Arabidopsis thaliana: one gene and its partner. The protein of the gene in region 2 interacts with the protein of the main gene of each other region in a pairwise test. Each region holds a gene or a part of one and is shown on either strand. Other genes may lie near its edges.

Region 1 (5,333 bases), on a different chromosome or scaffold from region 2:
TAGCCAAATTTGTGGATTTTGAGTCAAATCACGCGAATAAAGATAGGCTTTGGATTCTATTTTCTTGTAGCAAAGTTACCACAAGTGTTGTGGTTGACATTTAAAGATGCATGAACTCAACACTCAAATCCTAAACCGACTTTCACTTTTAAAAAGGAATTAATTCTCGTTTTATCGAATATGGAGTTAGAAAGTTAAACAGAACACGTGAAGAGAAAAGGTAAAAGAATTATATACTAATCTAATTTGATTTATTCGAGATCATTTGCATCAAAACACACTACAGTAAGAATGATTCTTTTTACGGCATTGAAGAACATCGACCGGTAAATTGGAATAAGACGATTTATGAATAGAGACAAGACTCATGAGAGGCCAAGTGGGGAATCTCTTCCCCTTTAGGATTTTGTCCCAGTTTTTGCAGTTTATGTCTGATACTTTTCCATCCAAGTGGCGTCAACAACACCACTCACTCGTTAACAAAGCGAAACTGCAATCTTACAATAGTCTTTTGTTTTTTTTTCCCGAACTTTCTTACACAATCATGCAACATCTTATTCACAGATTTATGATTTAAAAGTTTTTGATTTTTCGTCCCTAGTCTAAAAAGAACAGAAAATAAAACTCAACAACTAAATTTGCTTTTCTTTGGTTTACAATATTCATTCTGTGAGTTTTAGCAATGTTACCACACGGAATGTTGACATAAATGTTACAATGTGGTGAAAAAAGAATGTGACTTTGAGACAATCTAAACATCAAATTCCCGGGGCTGCAAGAAGAGGTAAACCTAGCTCAGGACATAGAGGACTCAAGCCCTGTTCTTCCAAGAGACTAAAAGCCGTGTAACCGTAGTATGAATGATACAGATCTGGTAATTGTCCGGGGAATTTACTGAATCCACCATACTGGACACAAAAATGCACAAACAATGGCGGCGTTAAGCAGATTGTTATCATCAGTAACCGATCATGAATCGTAGATGTAAACACATGAATGAAGACAATGTACCAAACTATCCTAATGGCTCTATAGGCTGCTACTAGTAATATTGCTAAATAAATATTAGCTTAGTTGCAGGTTTGCCTATCTACTCAGTTACTTTACAAATTTAGAAATTAATATCAGCTGAGATATGAGATGTAGAGAATAGTTACCTTGGACTGACAACTCATTAAAAATTTGCGCAGAGCCATTTTGTCGATCAATGCATCGCCTCCTATAAGTTTAAGGACAGCTCCAATCCTACAAATATGCAAGGCCCATCATAAGCAGATGAGAACAATTAGGGTCGGTGACAGCAAAAGTTGAGGGGACTAACCAAAATGCATAGCATGTGTCACTTGGCTTGTTAGTCCTACCTTGAAACCCACCATCATTTGCTTGTCTCTACAGGCAAGGTAAGAAAAAATTTCAGATCACTCAGGCCATTACGAATCTAAAGGTAATATTTATGAGGTGAAAGTTAACAGATTTTATGAAGCAGTACCTGTAGGCACCAGTTGAGAAGTAATGAAGGGTCTATTATTGAACTGGATGAATCATTTGACAGCAGATCAACTCCAATGTATCCCATCAACCGAAGGGATGCAATAGCACAGTAAGTGGCACCACCTGCATAACTAAGTTGCAGAACGTAGGTAAGCATCATACACGAGTGGAGTCAATTAAACACATTTCCCTCATAACGTAAGAACATAGTAAACTTCTTTTCTTTATGGGTTGCCATTGAAGTAGAAACCTAGATGAAGGAACTAAATTATCTAAAGTGTCCTCAATGATCAATTCAGTAATAACATATGCGCCACTTAGTTGGACTGCACATGGAAAAAATCAACTGTGAGATAGTAGAAAAATTGTTTTCAACTCACCATGAGATTCAGAACCAGGGATCAATCCAAAACCACCATCATATGACTGCACAAAGAATGTTGCACAAGAATGTCTTCTCAACACAGAAATTGACAAATATCAATGGAAGAAAAAAAGACAAAAGCAACTACAAGATCAGAAGTAAACCTGACAGTTTAATATGTAGTTCTTAGCACTCTCCTTATCCATTCCACTCCAACTATCCAGCATGTAACAGATTGCAGCTGAACCACAAAAAAAAAAAAAAACTAGATTGATACTCTACGTAAAGTATAAAGACATGGTATGTAAATCCTGTTAGGTAGCTATTCCTTACCTGCACAATATACAAATCGAAGATCCGTTTCACCTCCAATATGGATAGGCATGAAGCTGTAGCAAAATAAAAAAGTATCAAACACAATTCAGACCCCATTGCTTATTTAATCATTATATGCTGACAAGCCAAACTTGTTGCACCATGTAAATGAGAATATTGCTAGCCTAAACGACTTAGAACAAAGAAAATAAGTAATAAACTTATGGCATTATAAAATGCATTTTACTTTTTTAAGCTCTAAGAACTAATACCTTCCATCATCCTGTTGAAGGTTTATCATGGAAATTAGCAATGATTTTGAGTCGATGGTCGAGAGATCATGTCCAATGACCTTCAGAATAGCCAAAGCACAGTAAGTGCTTGCCAAGTGACTACCGTTGTGCTTTAAATCCTACGCAACAAACTAAACTGTCAAGCCCACACAGATGCAAAACAAAGATAAATCTTGTAACATATAAAGCATAAGGAATATAGACTTATAATTACCCCATTCTCATCAATGGGAAACTGAGAACTCCTTGAACCAAAGAAACCATAGAATTCTCCTGCAGAGAAGAACAAGAACATCTCATTCATTGATCACTAACTAATTAACAATTTGCTCATAAACATACTTCTAACTAAATTCAAGAAAAATACCATCTTTCAGTGAAACTCTGTTAGTAGGAAAGGCCTGGAAGGACAAAACCCACTTTGCAACAACATCTTTATCAACCTTCAGAAATTATAGATGAAATTCACTAAATCAGATTCAGGGGAAAAACAAAGATCGATTCTTTGAGAGAGAGGAGAAAGAGACTAACACGGTCTCTTGCGCCGAGAAAATGAAGACCCGAGATTATGAAATGAGCGAGTGTAAGACGATTGATCTCCTGAGATTGGTAATGGTACGGAAGCAACTCGTACATCATCTCCAAATACATCAAGTGTCGATCTTTCTCGAAATTCGCTGACGGAGATGATTGCACCGGTGGAGAATACTCTTCTTCGTCTTCTTCCTCCGACTTAGATCGGTCCGAATCGATTGACACGGCGGTCTCTGACATAGCGTCGTTCTCCGGTAGTGAGTCAACGAATCTCTCAAAACTCGCTTGGACTCACTCGGCTTTGCTTTCTCTTAGAGGAAAGTAAACAGTTTTTGGATCTGTGGTTTTCAAAAGTCAAAAACAGCACGATGTTACTTTGTATAATCACAAAACGGCGCAATGTTTAGGTGCTCTGATAATTATCTACATGATTAAAGATTAAAGATTCGTTGATGTGTTAAGAAATTAGATTAAAGATTAAAAATGAGATTGAGAAATTTAAACTTTTTTATTCGTGATATATATTAAGATATCACATTGAAGATTTCCAACATTGGGGGCATTGATTTTATTTTATATATTTCAAACATAGAATGTGATTAATATTTCCACACATATAGTACGTAGAAGTTATATGTATGTGATGAGGATCTTCAAAGAACGTTCAAGGACACTTGGATCCACCTTTGGAGTTTTTCATATCACGGTAGCAAGGACATTCATCTTTGTGTCCAAAAGTTCCCGAAGGAACACAATTACACTTCTGGCAACATATATTGCAGTACTTGAGGCATTCTTCATGTTGTCCTGCCTTTGAGCATCTCACATTGCACTTTCCACCGCATGCTGCTAATTCATTTATCACATATATATGTAAAATCTTAGAATTTCAGAAAACTTGTTTCAAAATGATACATGCATGACCTACAATTATTAACTAGATTAAGTAAACACTTACACGAATCAGCACTTGAAAGTACAGAAAATGAAGATGTGAGGAGAAGAGAGATTATGAAGAATTGTACAACCACGAGCTTCATCTTGTTTTCTCGAAAGAGTTTGCTACGTATACAAAATTTAAAGATATGCGAAAACAAAGTAGTGATGGTGAAATGTGGCTACAAAGAGAGGAATCCTTAATAGTGAGAATTTGAAGTGAAATTAATGTTTGTTACTTTAAATAAAGATATCTTTACTTGTTATGTCGGTACTATTTTCAGTTAAAAATATTAACATACAGAAAAAACCATATTCATAAACTTTTTTGACTAAGTAAGTAGTATAATACTAGTATTGAAAGTTTTTTTTGTAACCAGTATTGAAGCATTTTTTAAATTGTAAATTTATTTCTTATAGTGCACATTCATTTCGAATTACATGAACTTACAACAATTTTGAGATATTTTTGAAATCCTGATGAATGATGATTATGACACACAGTTTGTAACACTAACAAATATTCATTTTTATTATTATGTATAACTATTGAAATTCCTTAAGTCACATCTAATATATATTATAGATTAAAAGTATAGCATTAGATGTTGAAAAAAAAAGATTTAACTGTAGTAATAAGCAAGAAGACAGTGAGCCGCCCTTCAAGCACGGCGATGCATGTGGCAGATTGATTCTTAGGAATTGACTCAACTTTTTCGGTCTTCGTTGACTATATATTCAAAAATTGTAAAATTTAACTCAAACAAAAATGTACCTCTTGTTACATGTATTTTGTTCCTCTAAACAGTATGAAAAAAAAACTAAGTTTTCTTTTTAATACGAATGATTGCACCTAAAATTGATAGACGACTAAGTCTATACTGTTACATTAGATGGAAACATGGTTTGAATTATCGCTGCTAGGTGTCCAACTCGAACTTTGTACAGTTGTACTAGGATTCTAATGATTTGCTATGCATATAAAATACATTGTGGCGCAAAAATTACGCTAGTCGCATATTTCTTTTTTGGTTTGTTTGTTTGATTGCATAATTATGATTTGATGTCAAAAGTTGTATAATCAGAATTTGAGAACAATAATATGACAAAGAAAAACATTCTTTTTTCTCAGTTAGATGTAGATACAAGCTTTGTCCAAAAAAAAAAAAAGATATAGATAATAAAAATAATATCAAAGGTTGCCTTCTGGCTACGAAGACTATGAATTTAGACTTACAATTCCTTGGCTAAAAACTGTTTTAAATCTAAATTAATACCATATGTCAATAAAATATATCACGACTTCAATTACTAAGTTAGAACTTAGAAGTGGTGATCGAGTTCCAGCAAGCTCCAGCACGAATTGAAGAATACAATTTGTGCATATATATATTTTACAT
Region 2 (3,133 bases):
TTTGTAGTTATCCTCGAGTTCACCTTTCATGTAACCATATAAGCATTGCTCAAACTACTTGACACTAATCTGGTTTTGGGTTTTGCTGCTAGGTCTCACTGAACCTTTGAAGATCATGACGAAAAAAGGATCGTCTCTTGTTTTTTTCTTAATTTTCAGCTTCATATGTCGAAATAAAGAGAACTGTGAAGAAGACGTGAATTGTTTTTGTACACAACTTTGTAAGACTTGCTGCTTCTGTTTTAAGTTACTACTTGTGTGTTGCACTTCCTGATCATGTTGTTATTTTGCTGTCAACAAATTAATTTGAAATAAAACGCATTGCGAGATTCGTGTTTTTAGATCCAGCCTCCAATGATACGAATTACAAAGAAACACTAGAAATTAGTTATATTCGCTGTGTTAAGTATACAAATTAACACTTACGAAACTGAATTTGTTAATGGTTTTTATAACTATATCTGAAAACCAAAAAAAATATGCAAAATCATCAAATTGAAAATGTCTATTCTAGCAACATGAATTGTGAATAAATAAACAAACATCTATAATTCAAATTTTACTTGAATAACAATTTCATTTTGACTCTATTTTTGGTGAAGACAAAAAGTGTGCCTTCAACTTCAAGTCTTTAATCCAAGTAGCCAGTTTAGGAAACGGGTAAAAAAATAAATTATATAGAATAAAAGAATTTGATGTTGCAAACTTGAAAATAAGTTTACAAATCAATCTATTTAATGTTAACTAAACATGTCCGCTTGAAGCAAAACCTAACCGATCCGGACATATCATATATTATCTAGTTGGTGAGAATATTAAGAAGTGAAACTCTCGTCTGAATCAATCGCCGGAAAATAGATTCCAACTCTATTTCAAGCTCCACTACAGTAATCTCCGCCGCCTCCAACCTCGTAGTCGCGCTTTGCACCGCAGTCTCGTCCCATTCATCATCTAACAAATAGGAAGACCGAATGGAAAAGATCGAAGACAAAGACCCTTTGCTCGATCTCTTCTCTAGCCAAGGAATACAACCAAGTGAGAACAAAGACTCAACCATCGTCACAACGACTCTTCTCACTTCCTTCAAAACTTCTGTGACAAACAGAAGGTTCTGTTCTATTGGCATGGCCACTCTTCCTTCGTTTCCTTTCATGTTCTTCAAACAGTTTAAGCATTTCAGTGTCTCCTTCTTGAGCTTGTTCTTATACCGATTATACGCAGCTATCTTCTCGTTGACATCAGATGATTCGTTGCCACGTAGAGTCAGTTGTAGATCTTGCAAGCTGTGTTTCACGAGCGTCATCACATCTTTGGATACGTTACAGATGTCTAACATCCTCAATGAAGCTTCTGAAACTTGTTCCGTCCATTTCTCTTGTCCTTGTTGAGACAGAGATTCTCTTGTTTTCGGACAGTGATGGAGGAGATAGTTTACGCAGTCGTGTAGCTCTCTCAAACCCTCAAAGTTAATCTGAGCCATAGATAGATCTTAATCTATTCGAGATACTTAGCTTTATGAATGTAAAAAAAGAATTTGAAAAGGTATTTTTTGATGTAATTGTGAATGGTTTTTAGGGCTTCTTGAGAGTTTTAAGCGAAGATTAGAGATATATTGAATGTGTGTAAGAATGAGATTATATATAGAGGTTAAGAAGGATCTGAGGGAAAGTACGATGAAGGTTCCCAAGTTTGGGTTTTTGTACGGACGTGGGACATCCGGGGAACAGCTCATTTTGGAGGTATTATCAAAACAATGATTTAAATGATTCAAAACATGTCACAAGGAACCTTCTTTGTACGTAAGAGGCACTCGTGGATTAGGGTACATTGTGGATTCGTTTAGATTTTCAATTTATAATATATAGTTTTAAAGATTTTTATTCTAATATATAGTCTTAAGGTTTAATTATATACTATATACCATGCATGCACGAGCGACGGTGCCAGGCTGTGTTGGTAAATTGCAACAATTTGGAACAGACGGACGAATATTAAATGAGATGAGAAATGTTTAGATTTTGGATCAGACTTTAAATATTATGTTAAGGGTTTGTCAGATATGTTTTATGTATCAAGTTAAATGGATATATTAATTACCAACAAGAAAGTAATATAAGTCTTACAGTAACAGAAAACAAATAATGGTAACTACTTGATCAATATGAATATATGATCAATAATCATTTTAAAACCGGAACTTATCTTTGGCAATACATGCGATTGTGACATTGTGTTACGTGTTAACCTCTCAATATATGTTTCTGGACAAGCGAAATATTCACAGTTTCACACAAATACCAATATACCTTTTCTATAACGTGGACAGTAATAATACGCATACATTAATACATATATGTTTATATGTCTAATTTCTCTATCAATCAGGTAACCACCTCGACGGCTCGACGCATGAATACATCCTGGATTAGATTTTATGTTTAAGATCTTTATATCTCAGGTTATTTTCAACAAATTAATATCTTCCCACAAATTATATAATTAGATTCATATCCCTCCAACTCCAAATGCTGAAATGCTTTCATTTTTATTATGTTGTTAGTGCAGCAATCTTATTATTCGATTTCCCGTTTGGAAGGTATAGCTACTAATTATAACGAATAATCAACCATGCATTATATTTTCTCTGTTGTCATCATCATGTAGAGACATTATTGCGTGATTAAAAAAAGAGAAATAAGAAGACATTATTGCGTGATTATAAAAACACACAGAGAAAATAAGACATTATTGCGTAATTTCTTTAGCTATTTTTTTTGCAAACAACCCATCAAACATAAAATAAAGCCCATGAAACTCAATTAATAAGCCCATTATCTCAAATTCATCCTTACTCTGTTTTGCAACAACTTCTGATAAGAAAACTGATACACTCATCAGTCTCATGATTGTATAACTATAAACTTATGAAATATTCATAGAGTACTGAAGTGATCTGCTGATAATTGTTATCTCGAACTCGTATTCTTGACAAGTAATCGTTTGAATATGATTTAAGAACGCTGCACACAAAGTTTTACAAGTTCTAAAGATCAATATGATCTGAGAGACTTTGCCTAAACTAAAGCCAACAATACTTCACAATGAACAAAATTACATCTATACAATCTCAAAG

The links. The genes of interacting proteins can lie anywhere in the genome.
Region 1: the proteins of AT1G76210 (region 2) and PGGT-I interact in a two-hybrid assay, tested with the Arabidopsis thaliana proteins (one large-scale study listed by BioGRID).

What each region holds. Positions count from the first base shown.
Region 1 is NC_003071.7:16,499,570-16,504,902, reverse strand, and holds PGGT-I (Prenyltransferase family protein), read right to left. Parts: upstream 3,333-5,333; 5' UTR 3,238-3,332; coding exon 2,995-3,237; intron 2,907-2,994; coding exon 2,831-2,906; intron 2,737-2,830; coding exon 2,678-2,736; intron 2,583-2,677; coding exon 2,443-2,582; intron 2,245-2,442; coding exon 2,189-2,244; intron 2,097-2,188; coding exon 2,020-2,096; intron 1,918-2,019; coding exon 1,872-1,917; intron 1,615-1,871; coding exon 1,490-1,614; intron 1,390-1,489; coding exon 1,322-1,389; intron 1,246-1,321; coding exon 1,158-1,245; intron 909-1,157; coding exon 759-908; 3' UTR 524-758; downstream 1-523. Other genes in the region: AT2G39540 (Gibberellin-regulated family protein), read right to left, coding at 3,662-3,843, 3,956-4,037. UniProt on the Arabidopsis thaliana protein: Catalyzes the transfer of a geranyl-geranyl moiety from geranyl-geranyl pyrophosphate to a cysteine at the fourth position from the C-terminus of proteins having the C-terminal sequence Cys-aliphatic-aliphatic-X (CaaX).
Region 2 is NC_003070.9:28,594,403-28,597,535, forward strand, and holds AT1G76210 (DUF241 domain protein, putative (DUF241)), read right to left. Parts: upstream 1,595-3,133; 5' UTR 1,481-1,594; coding exon 800-1,480; 3' UTR 548-799; downstream 1-547. Other genes in the region: AT1G76220 (hypothetical protein (DUF241)), read right to left, coding at 3,128-3,133.